3 linked regions of the Drosophila melanogaster genome follow. The protein of the gene in region 3 interacts with the protein of the main gene of each other region in a pairwise test. Each region holds a gene or a part of one and is shown on either strand. Other genes may lie near its edges.

What was found. Proteins that work in one complex are often made in the same cells at the same time.
Region 1: the proteins of Epp (region 3) and CG5157 interact in a two-hybrid assay, tested with the Drosophila melanogaster proteins (one large-scale study listed by BioGRID).
Region 2: the proteins of Epp (region 3) and Daxx interact in a two-hybrid assay, tested with the Drosophila melanogaster proteins (one large-scale study listed by BioGRID).

The regions. Positions count from the first base shown.
Region 1 is NT_037436.4:16,135,493-16,139,879, forward strand, and holds CG5157 (uncharacterized protein), read right to left. Parts: upstream 2,388-4,387; 5' UTR 1,570-2,387; coding exon 1,210-1,569; 3' UTR 995-1,209; downstream 1-994. Other genes in the region: elg1 (enhanced level of genomic instability 1), read left to right, coding at 1-294, 704-974.
Region 2 is NT_033779.5:6,479,174-6,487,422, forward strand, and holds the start of Daxx (Daxx-like protein), read left to right. Parts: upstream 1-1,755; 5' UTR 1,756-2,026; coding exon 2,027-2,077; intron 2,078-2,809; coding exon 2,810-6,938; intron 6,939-6,998; coding exon 6,999-7,179; intron 7,180-7,317; coding exon 7,318-7,936; 3' UTR 7,937-8,249. Other genes in the region: Sec61alpha (Sec61 alpha subunit), read right to left, coding at 861-928, 1,151-1,157. UniProt on the Drosophila melanogaster protein: Transcription regulator. Acts as a histone chaperone that facilitates deposition of histone H3.3. Has a role in chromatin remodeling together with asf1 and XNP. Has role in the transcriptional apoptotic response to oxidative and UV stress.
Region 3 is NT_033777.3:23,987,025-23,995,754, forward strand, and holds Epp (ecdysteroid phosphate phosphatase), read right to left. Parts: upstream 5,893-8,730; 5' UTR 5,773-5,892; coding exon 5,660-5,772; intron 5,515-5,659; coding exon 5,274-5,514; intron 5,219-5,273; coding exon 5,023-5,218; intron 5,013-5,022; exon of another isoform or gene 4,852-5,012; coding exon 4,750-4,851; intron 4,288-4,749; exon of another isoform or gene 4,232-4,287; coding exon 4,062-4,231; intron 4,004-4,061; coding exon 3,691-4,003; intron 3,629-3,690; coding exon 2,747-3,628; intron 2,687-2,746; coding exon 2,448-2,686; coding exon of another isoform or gene 2,412-2,447; 3' UTR 1,782-2,411; downstream 1-1,781. Other genes in the region: CG5902 (uncharacterized protein), read left to right, coding at 404-1,135; Rab7, read left to right, coding at 6,978-7,157, 7,222-7,578, 7,640-7,726; CG33108 (uncharacterized protein), read left to right, coding at 8,712-8,730. UniProt on the Drosophila melanogaster protein: Steroid phosphatase that dephosphorylates ecdysteroids such as ecdysone 22-phosphate (E22P), 3-epi-ecdysone 22-phosphate (E22P) and 3-epi-ecdysone 2-phosphate (E2P).

The DNA.
Region 1 (4,387 bases), on a different chromosome or scaffold from region 3:
GGCAGCGGGCGGTGGAAGTAGAACCGCTGCCAAGCGGAAGTCCCGCTCACCAAAGAAGGCCTGGCTGAGCAGCGCCACTGGGCAGAAGTCCGATGGGCACAGCTCATCGCTCGCCACATTGGCATCCTTCTATGACAACATTTCGGTGGCTTCGTTGATGGACTCCGACTGCAGTGATCGCTTGCAGTGGCACCTGTCCGAAGAAATCGGTCACCTGCTGGTGGAGCAGGCTCTCCAAACTGGACTCGCGACCAAGGAGTGCCCCTACAATCTATTTGATAAGCCGGTTCAGAGGTAAGATTTTCAAAATGATGAGTTACTCTTTAACTAAGCCAATATATAAACACTTTAATATCAAAAGATCTTTATTAACAATATCTATCTGTATCTATATCTATTTTGCTTTAAACACATTTTAAGGCTTAATAATGCTAACTTAATTAGCTGTCATGGCAGTAATCGATGGAAAAAGGAAACCGGGGTTTTGTTATCATCCAGCAGTCATAATAACAACTAGTCACAAGATATCTTTAGCGTTCGGAATTCTAATAGCCTTGTCATAAAAATGACCGATCTTATAACTATCTTAGGAACACACCTATTCATTAAATTAGTGCCCAGACTTTTCACTAATTAGATACCAAACTTATTTTAGTTATGCTTTAATTTTTTCATTTTTTATAACTTTCTGTAATCTTTCCAGGTTTTCAATTTGCCAGCACCTGGGCAACGGAGTTCTCCGTTCCGACTCCGCCAAATCGCTGGACTTCGAGCCCGCCCTGCGCTCCATATGCCGCAGCGAAAAGGAACGGGCAGGACTGGAACGGAAGTCGAGTAGATTCTATCACTATCTGCGCAACCACACGGTAAACGTGACCAGTTTCACGACGGATTACTTTGACACTGCATGCAGTACGTTCCAATCGGCTGCCCCCAGCAGCGAGCCAACCATGGAGGCCGAACCGAAAGATTAGGCATCGTTTGGATTTAGTTTAATTTTTTTGAAATTGGTGGAGCAGCTCCGCCGGCTTTGTTTGCAATTTATTCAGATCGTTTAAGAAGAGTTGATCTTTTTTAAGATAGCTTTGTGGACATGAAGATGTAGCTATTATGAGATAAACCTAGAACTATTTACAATTTAACTATGATAAACTAACTACGACCTCATCCTATGTTAATAAATCAATCAAATGACATGTAAACCTATGACTAGCAGCAACAGAAACCGGAGGAGCTATTCTTCGCGGGTTCGGGATCTTCGGATATTGTGTTTGCCGTCGGCTTTGCTGCACCATTGGACGTTGGCTGCACTTGAATGGGTGCAGCTGAGTTGATTTCTCCGATTTTGTAGTTCTTTAGATCCTTTTCTGCGTCGGAGGAATGGCCTGCCTGCTTGAAGGCCTTGGTGGCATCCTTGCCGCCATATTCGAGTAGTGCTTCACTGCCGCCAGGATGCTCGCCGAGGAACTTGGTTACATCGTACACGTTCCCCTTGATGATCAGCCAGCAGGGTTTGCCATTCTTGCCGTTCTGCTGGGCCACCTCCGAGAGTTCGTACAACTGTGACATATTGCTGATTTGATTTCCTAATTGCTTTCCGCTGTTCGCGAATGTCTTTTAATGGCTGCTGTTAATTTGCGTTTAATAAGTCGCGCTCTTGATTCGATAATTTTAGGAGCTGTTAACCGTTGGACGGACTCGGAAACACTGGACGCGTGCCAAGGGGCGACCCTTGCTTATGTTTAACATTTATCAATAGTTCAAACAATCGCCTAGATCGCTTGTACTTGCCTTGTACCTGTTCTCCCCCATTTCCCCCTCGACGGGCAATTACTATTTGCTGTTTTATTTCAGTTATTTCCACAATCTGTCTGCATTGTGGTTGATAAGAAATACGTGAGAATTTCACCGTCTTTCAAGGCGACCTGCTACTAGTGTGGGCAGTGACCAATCTCCTTTTTTTGGGTGGGATTTGTGCAAATCATTAATGCAAATGGATGGCGCGAGTTGTCATTGAGTGGGTTTCTATCGTTGGTGAAATCTAAGCACAGTTTATGATTCACTTGAACACTTCCCGTTGAGTAATTTATGGTGGGAATTTTCTTTGAGTTAGTTATGTCCATTAACTTCGACACCATTTATTGATAACTGGAACATTGCAGGGTTCATATCGTACAATCAGTCAAACCCAAAATGCAATAATGTGTGTCAAGTGCCAATCAAAGCTAAAAGTTTCCAGTTGACAACAAATTTGGTTGCTTAAAGAAAAAACGGTTTTTATGTTTTCATAGTTATGTTCTATATATTTTGGAAATATATTTTAAATTTGCTTTCATTTTTCCCATTTTTGTTTTTTTGCTTTTAATGCTTTTGCGTTTTATATGAGACAACAACAATAATTGGTATTCAATTAATATATATATGTATTTAGATATATATCGATTTTTATTCCGATTTTTGTATATTAGACGTTTTGCATAATGCGCTTTAAAAAATTTCGCTAGTATTGGGTGCACTTTGCCTGCAGGGATCAAAAATCAAATTCGATTTTCTGGGAAGTGGGAGATGGTAGATGGGATGATTTTGATCTCGGATGGTTTCGAAAAGTTGTTGAGAAACTGTTTGGGATTGGGTGTGGTTACATTAACATAATGCTCCGCAGCGCATTGTCCTGCATTCGGTGTATTTACAAATGAATCTCTATACTTTTCTTGTTATTTACTTTATTTATTTAGCTTTTGTTATATATATATTTATATATATCAGTCGACGGTTTTGCATTTTCGAAACGCAGCTCGTGTGCGCTTTCATTTGTATTCTCGATCTAAACGTACAGATACAATATAGTAATAAATATCGTATATATAAAGTGTAAAATTAATTACTTGTCAATGATTGTTGATTTATTGAATTAATCGATCTGCTTGAATTTAAAAAAATCGTAATTCAATCAATTGATTTACTATAATTTAATCGATTTGTTTCATTTCATTTGATTTACTTAGTTTCCGTTTAGTTTCGCTAAACATAATTCGTAGACTTGATCTTCGTTTAGAATTTAATTTTTAATTTAAAAAACAGTTTTGGAGGTAGTTGAAATTAGGCCTGTTTGTATAAATGTGTATATGATTCTCCGATCAAACGAGTTTAATCGCTTCGATATTTAGCTGGACTTAATTTGTTTAGAACTAATTAAGTGATTAAATTCTACGCGTTTAATTTAGTTATTCATTGTCTCCGGTTTTCTCTTCGTTCTGTGATATTTCGGGCTATTTCCGGTTGCATTACTTTAAGTATTCTTTGATCCATAGACATCGAACTATATCGTTATGTATTTAAAATGTAGGCTTGTAGGACTTGTTGGCGTAGTAAAGTGTTTTCGTTTTCCATTATTTTGCATTTGTTATCATATTTTCCTAGTTTCTCGCATTCCATTTCTCATCTAAATTGTTGGTTAAATGTGTTTTAAACTTGATTTAATGGATCGTGAGTTCTTGAAACCATTTTTTGTTTTTCCTTCTCTTTGATAATTTCAATATAAAATGTTTGGGGCAACAAGGTGCACGGGTTGTTTGAAAAATTACGCATTTTTGGAATTTCAGAAATTCGTGAAATTATAGACTAATAAATAAGGCTGGATATCTAAACAATAAAAGCTCTGAGTTGCTTAATTGTGCTTATAATATACATTGCAATGGGACTTTTTCTTAACTCTTTGATTTTCCTAAACTCAGAACGTAAAAATATAATGCCAATCTAATTTTAAATAAACCGCCAAAACTCGACCAGAGTTACACTTGAAAATGCACGATCGCCCGTTGTTGCCAGACTGCAATTGGTTATCGATAACTTCAGTTTCATCGATCGTTACGTTTTAAATTTAAAATTCAAAATGTATCCCGCTAAAATCCGAAATCAAGATTAGCTGCAGCCAATTTAAAATGAAAACAATAATTTCTCTACAATTTGGTTTACATAGATTTCATTTCATTTTTTGTTTTTTTTTTTCTTTACATCGTAATTCCGTTAGCAAATATACAAATACAAATTTCAATTGAACTAAAAATTGTTTGTTTGTGTGTGTTTTCGTGTGTTCCAGCACATGGGCCTTGCGTACAATAATAATAGGGGATAAGGGGATTTGGATAGGGGGGTGGGGGTGGGGGATAGAGTATAGTTAAGAGTTGGTTGGCTTCGATTTAAAACTAGAGTTATTGAAACTAAAGTGTATACAATATTCATTCATAAAATTACAATTACATATTCACTTATGTGTTGTTATTTACTTTCCTCATTCCCTTTCTTCAGTTTTTATGGTATTGTGTCTGTCTCTTTCAAGTTTGTTGCTTTCTTGGTTTTTACAAAAACGTTCTCGACTTATTACTTT
Region 2 (8,249 bases), on a different chromosome or scaffold from region 3:
TATAAAAATACTACATTATTATTATTTTATTTTAAATAAACGGCTTAAGATCAAGCCCGCTTTACCCTTGAAACTAAGCTGCACAAATAATGCTACCGCTATGTTGACCTACATGGCCGCTTTCCCATGTGTGTACGTGTGTCAATTGTTTAAACAAAATCTGGTAAACTTCATTTGGCCGTAGTCGTCGTCATCGCTCATCACCTGCGAGCAACAAAAACAAACGAAGCTGACGTCGACAGCGCTTCGTGCGAGCCGAAGTTTGACATTTCCATTTCCACGTAGCGTTTGTTTGTCAGTGGCGAGAGAGTGGTGTGTGTCTGTGTGCGTGTGTGAGTGTTAAATGAGAGTATGGCAACAAGTAGCCAGGTGATAAGAAAACTAGCAGCAGCAGTGAGGTGGAAATACTGAGATTTATGAATGAAAAGGCCCACGAAACATATAAAAACTCAAAAATATGTGCACTTCAAGTGGTGTACGATATAGTAATAAATAAAACTAAAGTTGGGCATAATTATTTTCATGAATTAAATGGACACAAAAGGCGTGTTTTCCTATTTCGACACATAAAAAACTCAGTTTGTTCTATATCAGGGTGGTTCGGCTGCCGTTTGCCCACTACCAAATGAAGAGCAAACTGTTTGCGTGGCGATGTTCACTTTTTTGACAAGTGAAAGCAACCACAAAACGCGTGGGCTGGCAACACTGGCAGAGAGCAAAGCGAGATTCGCTCGGAAAAACACACGTATAAGACGAGAAAAGCCGCAAATTGTTGGGAAAATTCGAACATTACATGGTACAGCAGCAATTGGGATAACTAGCTACACTTTGATTACATCTAATTACGGTTTTATACACACCTTGCGCTCCGGTTTTGCGATTTCCGGCAGTATACTGCAGAACGGTTTGATAACTTCCAGGAACTTGACTGCAAATAGTGAATTAAGGCAACCGAATTAGTTACGTTTCTCAGGCCATTTTTAATTAATTGCGATTTTCGGACACAACGAGCGGCGCACGCCGAATCTTTTTTGTATACGTAAGCAATGAGCGACAAGGGTGCGAGCGGCATTGCAAGGGCGGCACTTCACACAAAAACCGCTGCACTCCCCGATTTTGGGGAAGATGTCTGGCGATGACGGTTACTTACTTCCCATTTTGCCGGACTTGTGTTGCTAGTCTGGGCACTGAGTGGGTGGCTTGGTTATTGCACTTTCTACGCGAACAGTAGAAAGTCTCACTTTTCACTGCACAGCGAACGCCTCAAATTTCAAAAACCGAATGAACGAAGCGAACGAATTGACGACGTCGACGTGTCATTCAGTGTGGCCGTTGGTGAAACGTCAAAATAAACCGTCGTGTCACTTGGCGACGACCGGTCACACTGGCACTGTTAAGCATTAAAATTTGAAGTTGAGCCATGGGAAAATCTATATTTTTGGGCTGTACTGCAAAGCTGCCTAAAGATTATGTTCCGATAATTAAATACATAAACTAGCAAGAAGATCTAACAATTATATTTTTGGTGGAATTCACGTTACCTATCCAGAGGGTTATTTATGGTTTCTTTTTTGTCTAAGATGGGCCAACATATTTAGCTTTTGACATGTACACATTTGGTTTCAGGCATTATAGGGTTAATAAAAAGGAGTTTCGATATTTAGTTGTGTGTCCATCGCTGGCACCGGCTGGCACCTAGCGACCGATACTATCGTGGCAGCCAGCGATGTTTTAGCAGCTCCAAGACTCTCCAATTTGACAATTCTGAGGCATGAGTACAAACAAACACTCACGCAGTGCACTCTGTTGGCGAGCGTAATAAATATGTGGGAAAATTCCCACATATATACAGTATTCAGTGCTAGTGCCGAGAACTCGCAACGAACCCGGTCGCGTCGTTCACATATGTGTGAAAAAGTAGCTGACAACAACGGTGGCAAGTCCAAATGCGAAGAAAAGCCAGTAAATCGCGCGGCGAGTAAAGTGAATAAATTCGGTGCAGACCATTGCCGTTTCGGGGCGAATAATGTCTGCGTCTGTGATATGCGTCGATTTGAGCTCGGAGTCTGATGAGGAGGTAATATCCCGATTTCCCAGCGGACTCGTCAGTGCGTGTGTGTGTGAAAAAGTACAGTTGGTTTTAAATAGGCTCGCTGCATGAGTATGTGTGCGTGTTACACATAGTGTGGAATTAAATTTTTTTCGCGCTGCTTTTTTATTGAGAACGAGCAGACACGAACGTGCAGTGCCCCACTCATACAGTTGCAAAACGGTGACAGTGCTGCCAGACCGAGCGATTGGAGACCTGGCGAGTCTTGCAGTTGCACTGGCGAATATCGGACTTTAATTACGTTAGGCGTGGAAATGAGCGAGTGAGAGGGTGCGGTGAGTCTCCGCTCCTGGAGAGTGTTTGGTTAAGACGCAATTCGCCTGGTAAAGTTTGGAAAGTCGTCTCCGCTGATACGGCACTAAATCAAATTAACTCTCCAAAGCGCGCGCACGCAACTCTCCAAAGCTCTCGCACACACCGACGAACGCACACCTATACACTGACGCTTTTCGTTTGTTTATATTTTCATTCAAATTTAAAATACATCTGAGAGCGACCAACAGGTCGCCTGCAGTTTGGAACTATTATAAATGTTGCTAATTATAAAACGCGCTTCAAAGACGATGCACTTGTGATAAAAACAACAAACATTATGTATACTTATAAGTAAACTTTGGTCTTATTGTCAGAGGCAGTGTAGTCTCATCTTATTACCAATTGAACATAACTTGTAATATAAGTTTCAAATTATATTTGCAGTCGCCGGCCAAACGACGACGACTCGAGGATCCGCTGCGACTACTAACGCCATCCGGTAGGCAAAGTTTTCCTGCCAAACTTCTGAACATACCAAAGGCCTCCCTGGGATCCGCGATGGTAGTGCCTGTTGCGGAAACAGGACCTGCAAGGGAGACTCCGGTCATAGTGGATCCACTCCGGTCCATGCACATCCCCAGTGGAATCACCATCACTAAGCACCAGAAGAACGTCCTCGCCACAAACGGAAACATGAACCTTTCTCTGGCAGAGAGCAACAACAACAACAACACTACCAGCTTGAACAAAAATGTGACCCCGAAGCAGATCAATGTTGGCACCGGCCAGAAAGTGGCCTGGTCGGTGAGCAGCAAGGCGCCCAGTCCGAATGCCGTGATAACCACCGTGCCCAGCCACCAGGTGAGGGTGACGCCGTTTAATCCGATTCGACTCGCACCCGGGTCAAAAATAATACCGGCTTCGAATGCGATGCCTGCAAAGATTCAACCCATTCTTGGGATGGGTCAGCCTCAGCAACAGGCACAAGCCCAGCAACCGAAGGCCATCATAGTGGGTTTTCCGAAGCCCAATACTGCAGTGGCTCAAATGGCGCAACACCAAAAACCTCTAACGCTTCAAATACACCAGAAATTAATTGCAGGACAGCAGCAGCATATAGCTTCTATTAGCCAATTGCAGCAGGTATCGTTGCAGCAGCAACAGCCACTTAGACCCGTGAGCATTCAATTGCAGCAGCAACAGAACCAACGGAATGGCTCATTGCCTGGAAAGCAACAGAAGCCACTGGAATGCCCAGTGCCTGCGCAGCAAGAGAAGCTACCACGTGGGCCGTTGCCTACGAAGCCAGCCGAGCCACTGAGTGGCCCATTGCCTACGGAGCCAGACGAGCCACTGGGTGGCCCATTGCCTACGCGGCCAAAACCACCGGTGAGATCACTACAACAGCCAGTTAACAAGAATACGGCGATTGGAGTACAGATACAGCAATCACAGGAGCCACTGGGTGGCACATTACCTACGCGCCAGAAACCACTTGGAGGTCAATTGCTAACGCAGCAAAAACCACCGGTGGGATCGATACAACAGTCTGTTAAACAGAATACGGGGATTGGAGTACAGATTCAGCAAATACCAAAGGTTGTCGTGGGACAACAGCCACAGAAGGTGTACCTGAATAAACTACAACAGGAGCAACAGAAGATTTTTCTGGGGCACCTGCAACAGCAGCAACAGAAGACGTTCCTAGGGCAACTGCAACAGGAACAGCAGAAGATCCTGGGGCAACTACAGCAGCAGAAACAACAACAACAGCAGCAACAGAAAAAGATCCTGGGGCAATCACAACAGCAAAAGGTGCCGTTGGGGCAACCGCAACCTCAGCAGAAACTACCGCAGCAACTGAACAATTCACTGGTGCAACTACAACAGCAACATCAACAAAGAACATCAGTGGGGCAACTCCAACAACAGCAGCCACATCAATCACAGCAGAAAAATTCAATGGTGCACGTAAAACAGCAACCACAACAGCAAAAGAAGATTTCAGTGGGGCAATTCCAGCAGCAACCACAACAGCAACAGAAGACTTCAGTGGCGCAGCTGCAACAGCAACCACAACAGCAACAGAAGATTTCAGTGGGGCAACTTCAACAGCAATCACAGCAGCAACAGAAGCCTTCAGTGGGGCAGCTGCAACAGCAATCACAGCAGCAACAGACGCCTTTAGTGGGGCAGCTGCAACGGCAAACTCAACAGCAACAGAAGACTTCAGCGGGGCAATTCCAACAGCAACCACAACAGCAACAGAAGATTTCAGCGGGGCAACTCCAAGAGCATTCACAACAACAACAGAAGACTTTAGCGGGGCAACTCCAACAGCAAGCACAACAGCAGCTAAATACTTCCGCGGGGCAGCTCCAACAGCAGCAAAAACCACCAAAAGCGTCCTTAGCGCAACAGGCAGCAGCTCAAAAGCAAGGAGCGGGCCTAGGACAACAGCAACAATTTCAATCCCAGCCCCAGCAGAGAACAAGTGCTGGACTTCTTCAACAGCAACAGATGCCACAGAAGAAAATCGTGATGCAACCGCAGCTTCCGAAAACATCGGTGGTCCTGCCGCGCCCACAACAGCTCCCGAAAAATCCTTTGCTGGTGGCCCAACAGCAATCACCAAAGACACCACTGGTAAACTCCGTAATGGGCCCACAGTTTCCATCACAGCAACCATCGCTTCCCGTTGTCAATCAAATTACGCACAAATCGATGACTATTCAGAGACTTCCCATGTTGCAGACGGTGCAAAAAATTCTGCCAAAACAGATAGCTCCGCAGCAGACGCCACCACCCGCTCATATAGTACAAAAGCAAACAATGCCAAACGCGGCCATGCAAAATCCTCCGTTCGCGCACCGTCCACCGATAGTGCGACCCATGACGGTAGCCAAGATCTCGCCGGTGCCTACAAACAACAAAGTCTGCATCCCGATGAAGCCGCAGATGGCTAGTTATGTCAGTCCCACAGACCCAACAATGACTGCAGCCCGTACTTTGCCCTTTAGAAGCTCACAGCGCAAGACATCTGAAGCACCAATGACTTCGACGCATGTCCAGGGATTCACTGCGAGTGCCACACCTCCACAGCGTCTTCTGGCCACTCCACCGCATTGTGCCGCGGCCTTGAATGAGCCGCTATTGCTAAACTTGCCGCCCACCACTAGCATTACGCCGCAACTGACGCCTACGACAACTCCACCGCCCGCTGGACCATCGGCAGCAGTTCAGCAACAGCAGCTGGCCAAGGCGGCAGCCATTAAATTGAATTCCTTGCCCGAAGCGAGCATTTCTCCAGTGAACAGGTCTCCAACTGCAAGCGCCAAGCGCATCCAGCCGATTACCGTGCTCAAGAAATCCGACGAGGAATGGCAAAGGCATCTCGAGCAACAGCAGCAAAAGAAGCACGTACAATTGCAGTCGTCCTCGATGACCACAATTGTTCTAGTCGAATCACCGCCCACTACTCCGCCCACGGATAAGCCGGAGCCGGAGCGCGGGCCAATGACCGTGGAAAAATCGTCGATCAAACCGATGGCAACAGATAAACAATCCAGGGCAATAAAAAGGCCTGCAGTGATGATTTCCACGAAAAAATCCGGTTTAGTTGTCACAGAAATAGTGGATTTAGATGAAATACCGGATATCCCGCCAGAAAAGCGCGGGAAAGAATGTTTTCCTCCAATTAAGAATGCAGCCAAGGCAGCACCATCAGTGAATGCCCCTTTTACAACTGAGTACGCGGCACTTCTTCGTCTTTGCCGCGAGGTGGACAAATCGACTCACATGGAACGCCTTGTAAAGGGAGAATTGACCCAGTATTACTACAGTGCGCCCGAAAGCTTCGTGATGTCATGTGGCTTTCGCAACCTGGTTACAATGGCTATGGCGAGGATCCGAAGCGAATCGTACCTGGTGTACGTGCACCTAAAGTACGTGTTAGATGAGTTAGCATCGCGGAGGCTGACCAAAATGTTTCCCACAGTACGAGCAATTCCGCCAGCTAGCCAGTTCCCACTTCCACCAGCTAGCCAGTTCCCACTTCCACCCACATTGACCACACCCAAGCAGCCAGCGATAGTAAAAGCGCCGGGGCAGCAGACTGTGATGGCGGGAAGAGAGCAGGATGATGAAGTAGAAGAGGTGACATTGGTGAATGTCGGGACCGTTTCTTGCGAAGAAAGGCGTAGGGATGAGCGGATACGCCACTTTTATCGCACGCTGCATGCTATTACTAAGCGAATAAAGATGTTGGAGGAAGCTGAAGTGGACTTGAACGACGAGGACTCCAGTTATCTTCAGTTGGAGCGCTTCAAAAAGCGTGCCTGCCAAATCTATGAAAAAATCTGTGATCTAAAGGGCGAGAGCAAGAGTGTCCGTAGACAGCTAAAGAAGCCCATACACTTCAAGGATTCGGACTATCCACACTTCAATAACTCGCTCTCGGCTTTTGTGAACAGGATGCAAGATTTTCCCGATTACCACGATGTGCTTCAAATACTGGAAAAGTGCAACAAGGAAAAGGAACTTGGACTAGCCAAGTACGAGATGAAGAGAATCGGTACGTCATGGTCTTCAAGTATCAAAATCAATATTGAGCACACATTTTATTGTTTTGCAGCCTACGATGCCTTTAACAAAGTCGGTCGAATGCTGCAATCGCGCCGAAAGAATGATCTTTACGAAACTGTCACACATTACACGGCAAATGGCAAAGATCCAGCGTCCAGTGATCCCGAGCTGCTAGCCAAGCTCAAGGAAAACAACAAAAAGCAAACCAAAATAAGTGATATCTTAGAAAAGTGAGCTCAAATCGAGAATTTCAGAACTGCGCTGTTCAAAAGAGTTTTCACTTGTTATTTATCGGAAATATCTAGAACAGCGCAGTGCTCTGAACTTAAAACAGAGTTCCAATCTAATATTTGGATTATTTATTCTAGGTATGCCCTCGAGCAAGATCTCAATGCGGAGGAGCGTCAGGAGGCGCGGCTTAAGGAGAAAAAGTTGAAGCAGGTTAAAGCGGACGAGGAGGCCGCCAAGCTGGCTGCTTTGGCGGAAGACGACGACAAGCCCTGTACAAGTGCTCAGGCAGCAGCTAAGGCGGCCGCTCTCGCCGCTTTAAAAAGGGGTCCAGCAGCTCGTGGAAATGTGATTCGAAAAAAGCGTGCCGCTAATGGACGGATTTTCAAAATCGCCGATGACGGAGATGACTCGGAGGAGGAATCGGACTCGGAGGACGACGATGTTGAGGAATTTGTCAATAACTTTCAAGCCAACAGTGATGTGAGTGATGCCGACTCCGAAGTGGAAGCAGTAACATCACCAAAGAGAGATGCTTTGCCGCTCGCCGAGGAGGAGGATGTGATAGATATAACGAGAGACGAGACTGGCAAAAAGAATGACGAAGGCACGCCCAACGGCAGGCTTAAGATTATGTCCGTCTCTAGTCTGAACGCCAATTTTGTCCATGGGCAGGATCTGCATAGAAAGCCCAATCCCATGCCGTCTGCTAAGCCAGTCATTGCTGACCAGATTATCATTTCCGATGAGGAGTCATAGAAAGAGTTATATCCGAAGCCCTAATTAAGTTATTTATTCAATATGTTCAGTTTCTTCCTGAATACGTTCGGTACATTTTTCAACTCCCCTTGCTAACACAAATGTTGTAAGGTCGACTATTTATTTTTGAATGTCAATCCTTAAATTTAAATTTTAAGTTTATGCAGAAAAGTTTATATAATTCAAGCATTGATTGAGTTGACAATTTTCATATTTGTTTTTTGCTTTTTTTATAGACATAGACACGTGAAGAACTTTTTCATATAAAAATGTCTTACATTCAAAAATAACTGCCGCCCTTACATTTTTGTGG
Region 3 (8,730 bases):
TTTGCAGACGCATCAGCGGATCAGCGGACGCAATTCAATGAGGTGCTTATGAGCTAACTAGCAGCAGGACGGCAGCCAAGGAACACGGGGACGAGGTCTGGATCAGTTAGCAGGGAGCCAGGAATCACAGGCTAGAGGTCAGCGCAAACTGGAGGGCAGCAGGTGACCTAGTTTACGCAGTAGCAGGTAAGCCAAGGCCTTGGAATTCGAGACCAGCATTAAACACCACCACCGATTTTCAGAAGACGATTAGAGGACTGGCGGCAGCGTTTCTGTGGCAACTCCTACTGGGGCTGTTCTGTTGTGTTAATTGAACTTAGAGCATCAACGTGCACTGCCATTAGTTGTAACCTCAATATACCTACCTAACGTAATTAGTGAACCAGTTCTGACACAGAACAGCATGTCCAACTCCCACTACAACAACTACCAGCAGCAGCAGCCGCACTCCAGCAACGGAGATCCGGAATACCAGCACCAGCAGATGGTGCACCAGCCGCAACGGTTCTCCAACGGCCATGGCATGAAGACCGTCGCTGTGCCAGACATGTGCCTGTTCTGCTTCGAGGTGCTTGACTGTGAGCTGAACAACGTCGATGGTCCATCGGTGCCGGTGTTTAGCAACGACGCCTACCCACTCTTTGTCACCTGGAAGATTGGGCGTGACAAGAGGCTGCGTGGCTGCATTGGTACTTTTAGTGCAATGGAACTGCACCATGGTCTTCGGGAGTACGCCTTGACCAGCGCCTTTAAGGACTCTAGATTTGCACCTATCTCTAGAGATGAGTTGCCACGGCTAACTGTCTCGGTCTCGATTCTGCAGAACTTCGAGGAGGCTCAGGGCCACCTGGACTGGCAACTGGGCGTCCATGGCATCCGCATCGAGTTCCTCACAGAACGCGGCTGCAAGCGCACAGCCACCTATTTGCCGCAGGTGGCCACCGAACAGGGCTGGGACCAGCTGCAGACCATTGACTCACTCCTACGGAAGGGCGGCTATCGGGCTGCCATAACTCCGGAGACGAGGAAGTCCATAAAGCTAACGCGCTACCGTTCGCAGGAGATCCAGATGCACTACAAGGAGTACCGCGAGTACCAGGAGCGTCGCGCCCAGTTCGGCAAGGTGCAGTGCTAACAATTGGACAGGACGGCGGCGAGGCGATGATCCTGGCTTAGGGCAGGCCTGATGGCCGTCGTCCTCCTGCTGCTGCTAGCTTTTGAGTTTGGCCCAGCTTGGCGGCCGCTCGCTTAATTCAAGTTATGAGTTATTATATCTCCAGCATCAATTTTAAGCCCTCAAAAATTCTCCAAAAACGCGCGTGAGATGAGCGTCTTTTACTAAATATACCATTTAATGCTTCAAATACTTAAGCGGCAGATCCGTAAGCAATTTCGAATGAGAAACATAATGAAAACAGAAAAGATTGTAAGCGCTATGTTGAAACCCATTGCATTCGGATACACCGATCTATGTTGTAGCCGCAGCCTTGCTGGTTTCTTTTTAAATCAAACACACACAAACTAAAACTAAACAAGCGTATATATGGGGATATATATTACCGAATCAATACAATACAAAATGCAGATATATAATTCACGTAAAATGTTCAGCAATTATATTATAGATTTAACAACTAAACCAATTACATTACTAATTCTAATTCTATGCGCATTAAATAAAGGTCGACCCCTTCTGAGTCGCACAAGACAATGCAAAATTATCGTCCGTCTTTCCTCTTGGGGATCGTGGAAGCGAAATGGAGTTTACACCTCAATGTTTTGGCATTACACGTGTTCAATGTATACTGTTTATTGTTCCATTATGTTGTGCGTTGTTACATGGTTTTGTACTTCTAAATCTAGTCGATAATATCGATATATGTTTGGGCTTTACGTACGGAGTAGTCTCAACAAGTTGCTAAGAAAAGTCTGCCTCTTGGATAAATGGCTACAAAAAACTGCGTTACGCAGCAAGGCTAATCAAACAATCTAACAACTAAGCTAGTAACAGGGCAAGTTAGTCTATGGCTAAAGCGGCGAGCTAGCGCTCAATTAGTATAATTACTGGCATACGGTATAAATGTATATATTCAATATATATAGTCAATAGATCGCATTGATTGCAATAAAGTATGAGTCCGTCGCGCTGGCTTCTCAATAAGCAGTGCAATTATAATAGATGGATTGTTTATACACCGCAGCAAAATCGCATTCCATCGGTTTGCATCATAAGTGTACATATAAATTACTTTAAAATTTGTATGGCAGTACAATCAACTTAATGCGGCGCCAATTTCTAAACAGTAAATCAATACGTACTTTAAATAGCTAAGCGAACAAAAAATTTACGTATAGTTTCTTCAGCGTGTGATTCACCTCCAGGTCCGTCCCAATCGAGTTGAGTCTCAGTCTCAATGCTTGCAGAGAAACTGCTCTAAGCACTGGCACTAGGTGGCCGACAAGGCGTTCCACTCGAACCGCGGATTCTTTGAGTGCGTCACCGGAAGACATTCGGGTTCAACCAGCTTCCAGACGCCGTCCACCTGTTCCACCGTTGCCAGGCTGCAGTAGGGGATCTTGTGGATGACTTGGCGCAATTCGTTCGTGCTGCGTGGAACTCCACCGGTCAGTTGACGGGAACAAGTGTCCAGTGTGGTGGCATGGGCAACAACCAAAATATTTCCAGCTGGAATTAAAGAAAATTGGCATTCGAGTATTTTTTAAAACCACATTTGTATAAATTTACTTGTCTGCTCCAATAGCTGGAGGATAACGTCATGGTTACGTTCATAAAACTGCTCGGTGGACTCCTTTAGGCGAGCAGTTAGCTCAGACGCTGGCTGCACCGGCTCATAATCCAAATCAACGTCGAACTTGGCCTCGGTCAGCTCGTTCTTAGTCAGCCAGTCGGGTACACCGCTCGGATACCAGGCCATCCACTCAAACAGGCCCGGCTCCAGTTTGATTTTTTGCTTGCCCGTAAGCTTCAGCCCCTCAAGCGCACTGGTGCAAGTCTGGATGCAGCGATACGAGGGCGAACAGTAAACATGGTCGATCTGCACTTGAGCCTCCAGCAAAGCTTGACCAATAAGATTGGCCTGATAGACACCCACATTTGTCAGCGGAGAATCATTCTGCCAGCCCTCCGGACTGTTCTTCCGACGAGGCAGCGTCTTCGGCATGTTTAAATCCTTCCTCATGTAATTTCCAAACTCATCGAAGCAATATGGAATCCATGTTCCAAAAGTAAAGTCGACTCGCTCGCCATGCCGCATAATGTAGATCTTTCTGTTCTTGGCATGCGAGGCGTCAAGGGATCCGGGATGCAAGGAGTGGTCCGAGTGTACACTAAGTGTGTCATCTGGACGCGGAGGCTGGGCTGCCGGTGGTTCCACCAAGATCTCGTCCACCGGTTGCTTGGACATGGAGGTGGAGGAAGAAGACATATTGGTCGTTATCTCGATCGTAGGCGTGTTAGGGTTATGCTGATGGGTCAAGTTGTGGCTGTTTAGCAATTGCACTGAGGGTAGTTCCAGGCAGGGCTTCAAAGTCTGTCTCAAATACTTCTCCACGCTCTGTTCGGATTCCTCAAACGAAGAGCCTTCAATTATATCAGGATGTGCTGTGTCTGTTGAGAGAGGCAATGTAACTAACTTAATCCAGGATCACTGTATTCAAAATACGACTCACTCTGACGATCGTCGGGCTCCGTTGATATACTGCGTCCGTCCACAATGTCCAAGTCCTCGGCGGAAGTTAATGATGAAGCTACGCTCTTGGAGAGCTGGACCACACGATGCAGGGTCCAGGCGTCCGATTCTGCGGTGCGTTCGGTGTAATTGACGGGCAAATGACCGGTGCTTCCGGTCAACCAAGATATGCCTTCGGCCCAACCGTCACTGGAACTGTCTACTACCTCGGTATTCAAATAGATGTAATCGCCGATTCGGAGCTCCAGTTCATCCGTCTCGTGCGGGTTGTGTGGATAAACTACCTTTTGAACCTGAAAAGTACAAGATAAAATTATAACTCATCCTCGATCGATTATAAGGAGCTCTAACTTGTTTGGTGGCGAGCCGAGGATCGCGGGAATATAGACGAAGTTCCCAATTGGAAGCGCAGCTGGCGTCTAAGGTCTCCACGAGTGCTTTCAGTGCATTAAACTGTGCCTGCGGGAACTGGTAGGCAAGCGTCAGGTGCAGGCTCTTAACGTGTGGCTCGAGTGAGATGGCTACAGGTAGTTAGAAGCTATTAGTAGCCTTTCGCTAGGCGGAACAAACGATTACTGAATGGAAATGAAGGCGGTGCTGGTTATATGCTTTCGTATCTAACACGGTGAATCGATGTTTTTCGATAAGGAATTATAGTCACTTAAAGTTATCTTTGGGCAAAACCAAACGTCACGGGCTTATCAACTACAGTTCTGGTCTTCTAATAATCAAAGATTTTTTGTATATATAGTGACACTAATCGGTTTTAATAATAAACTGAAATATTTTTCAAACAAATGAAACGGGGTATAAACAAATTAACTATGTAGCTACCAAAAACATCGATCACCTTGCTATCTACAGTTACTACTAATTAACTACAATTAGCAGCGTCATGTTGAATTTCGCCAAAAGGGCGATTAGATTAGTAACTTATCTACCAGTGCAACTAAAGCATGCATAGAGTGATAAGAAAGTGTACTTTTGGGTGAATCAAAAACGATTTTATGCAAACTAATGGCTCTAGCTAATGGCTTACATCGACTGCTGCGCGGAATGCAGCGGGTGCCCGAGGAGACAGCACCGCACCAGGGAAAGCAGGCCACAATGGCGTCCAACTGCTCATAGGTATCGCTAATGACTGTGCAGCATATCCCAGATTATCCAGAAGTGTGCAGGAAGAGAGGAGAACAACATAACCGTGTAAGCCACTCCGAAAAATGGAAAACCATCAACCGAATCGAACAGAACGTGAGAAAGGTAAACCAAAACAACCCAAAGAGAGTGCAACCAACAGAAGGATAATTCGTACTTGAGTTGGACACCTCCTTCACGTACTGCAGGGCCAGTCGTTTCAGATAGTTGGCATCCTCCTCGGCCACGAAAAAACCCATGAAGTTTTGACTCATGTAGGGCTCCAGTTTAAGGGGGCGATCCAACAAGGCGCCCGTCATGTCCACCACCTGTTTGAGCGCCTTGGACAGCTGCAGCGAGCACTCATCGGGGGCCTGTAATTTCGATTAGGTGAATAAATAAAGTCTGGATAATCCAACTTAAGCTCACTTTAAAAAACGAAACCAGGGTTATGTGAGGCACGTAGTTGTGTGCTCCATTCCAACCGCACATTTGGCGCGACTTGGCCCAGAACTCCTCCAGCTGCTGCAGAAACGGACCCGTGGGACAAGCATATATAATATATTCCCTGGGGGCGCACTCGTCCAGGGTGCCATCGTTGACATGTGCCAGCAACCAATCCGAGGCAATCTGGACACCACGATTACCAGTTGAAGCCAAAGCTTTCTCCCTGTGTAGGGGTAAGCAAAAAAATCAATACTCTGATTCTATGAAACAAATCAACATAGTGGGTCACTCGCACGCATAGCCACTATATCTTGGATGGAACCTAGAGCAGCTGGTGACTGCCAATACGCTATGCATAGAAAACTCACGCTCTATGCCTGGGAAACCCCATTTGGAGCAATGTTTGGAGCGGCGTCAGATGCTGCTTAGAGATGCAGATCCTCGTAGGGGTCTGACTCTTACGCGGCGGAAGCGTGGCCATTTCGATTATAGCCTCCTATGTAAGCCCAGGTGACCACCGTTTAGCAGCTTTTGGTTTTTCCTGGCTGTTCAATATTTTTCAGTGATAATTTCAACAAAAATAGGATACAATTCGTTAATTGGCCACAAAAAAGTGTTGGCTAACGACAGCCTAAAGATAGTCAACTTCTACCGATAGCTGTAACACGACTGCACTATCGATAACCAGTACTGACCAGTAGAGATGAGAGCGATTCTCCTAGCGAGACAACAACAAAATTCACTGCGTAATTAATTGAATATTTTTTAGTAAAACCGAAGCGCCCCACAAAGAAACAGCTCTTGGAGTGTTCACCAGTGTTCAAAGTGAGTGCCACTACAAAAGGAATTAGGCGAATAGCAAAAGCAAAGCGTTAAAAAGAGTGTTACGCAGCAGGCGAAAAGTGCATGGAAAATGCCAGTGGAGCCCCACATCAAACATACACACGCACACTCGAAAAACGTACACAACAAAGACCCACGCACACCGACGCAATTAGTGGCGTAGTTGTAATGGTGGAGCACAAAAACAAGTTGTTCATGGTCTAAAAAAGGGGGGCGGGGAGTTTATCTCCCTTTGGAGAGTCCACTTTCGCACTATTTTCGATTGCACCATAGTGACTCCCCCTGCCATCGAGGACTTTGAGGAAATGGGCGTTTTCCCAGGCACTTTTCCTGGTATTCCAGACCCGCTTTATTAGCTCGACCTCGTCTTTGTCTGTACTCAGCGCACTTTCTCCGCTGCGCCAATAGTGATCACGCTTTATCGCCTCGATGCGGGCACCTCCCTCCCCTACTGACCGCCTGTTCACACAGTCCAGCGATCACACACTGCGGATTGCTCAGAGTGACTCACCCGATTTGTTTATCACCCAGCACGGCGTAGCACAACTGCTCGTCATTACAAACATTTTACAGCTGCGAATGGCTTGCACTTCGAGCACTTAGGCAGTCAGGTCCTGGCAGAGATTACGGCTTTCATTGGCATGTAGTTTAGACTCTAGAGGTTTGCGCAGTTCACTTTCATTTATCTTAGGAAAGAAACCATCACACCCCTACACTTCCTAATCGAATTAGAGGAAACCGCAATGGTATTTTTAACACACAATCAATAATATTCTGTGGTTTTCAGCACCAAATACCAAAAGAAATAACCCCGAGTAAGCCAACGCCACAAACTGCATCGAAATGTCCGGACGTAAGAAATCCCTACTGAAAGTCATCATTCTGGGCGACAGCAGTGTGGGCAAGACCTCTCTGATGAATCAGTATGTAAACAAACGCTTCTCCAACCAATACAAAGCCACGATCGGAGCTGATTTCTGCACGAAAGAGGTGGTGGTCAACGACCGAGTGGTCACAATGCAGGTAAGCACTATGAACTTCCAGTAATCCTATTTCAGTGACATAACTCGCAAAATTTCAATAACAGATCTGGGACACTGCTGGTCAGGAACGCTTCCAGTCGCTTGGAGTGGCGTTTTACCGCGGAGCCGACTGCTGCGTGCTTGTCTACGATGTGACGGCGCCCAACTCGTTCAAGAATCTCGACTCCTGGCGCGACGAGTTCCTCATACAGGCCAGTCCACGGGATCCCGATCACTTCCCCTTCGTTGTGTTGGGCAATAAGGTGGATTTGGACAACCGCCAGGTGTCCACGCGTCGAGCGCAGCAATGGTGCCAATCTAAGAACGATATACCCTACTACGAAACGTCCGCCAAGGAGGGCATCAACGTGGAGATGGCGTTTCAAGTTATAGCCAAGAATGCGTTAGAGTTGGAGGCGGAGGTAAGAAATCCTATTTAAATATTGTTTTCCATACTAAATCGAACTTTGTACTTTCACACAGGCTGAAGTTATCAACGATTTCCCCGATCAGATTACCTTGGGCTCGCAAAACAATCGTCCTGGCAATCCTGACAACTGTCAGTGCTAATGTAACAACAACGCAAAATGGATAATTACACAATCTATATTATTAAATAATATTTCCAACATAATAATGAACATGAGAAGCAAGCAACACAAAGGACGATAGAGGAAGGTGTTATATGATTAAGTAAAACAATTTCAGCAAAACAGCATAGTAATTAATTAACTGATAGGATGCAAAGTTCAGATTCAGATCAACATCAGCTGAGTCTTAACGAGCCTCTGGCAAAGGCTTAACCAGTATACCCACTTTCCTACGACCTAAGTAACCGTTCAATGAATAAGTATGCTCTGTGTACTCGTATTTAATAATTCATGTTTCTGACCGACCGCCCGCCTATCTCCCTAGTACTATTTTTGCCATTGTATTAGTCAAATTTTGCACGCAACCGCTGCTGGCTTTTGCAACAGAACAGCAACATTGAGAATACAACATCAGAGTATCTTCTAAACAAACAAAAAATCTTGTGATTGTAAATTTAATAAAAGAATAACTTTTTAAATGTAATTTACAGACATAATTTCCTGCACCATCGAATTGGCTACTCTATTGTAATTGGCTGAGCTCCACAAAACTTCTTTATGCATAACATTCGAGCGTGAATTTGGTTTAGTTATAACGTTACTCGATATATCCTATAACTATGAATAGTATTCCATGTAAAATTGCTCCTTGTTTTTGGTAATACATATATGTAAATTGTGTATATTTCGAATTTATTTTTTTCCAAAGATTCATTTTATGAATTCTCATGCTCTTTGGTTTAATTTAAAGAATAAACTTGAACAATTTACAATAAAAGTCAAATAAGCTTATTTTGATATTTTTATGTGGGCTTAATTTACTTTGTGCCCACTGTAGAACAGATGCAACCAGGTGAACACAGAATATCGCTTATCGATAACTCAGCCCTGTTAATATTTGTCTGCGAAAACAGCTGTGGCTATTGTCTGTTAACTCGCTTAGTCTATTTATTTAACTAAATACCATGTCGAATATTTCAAGTG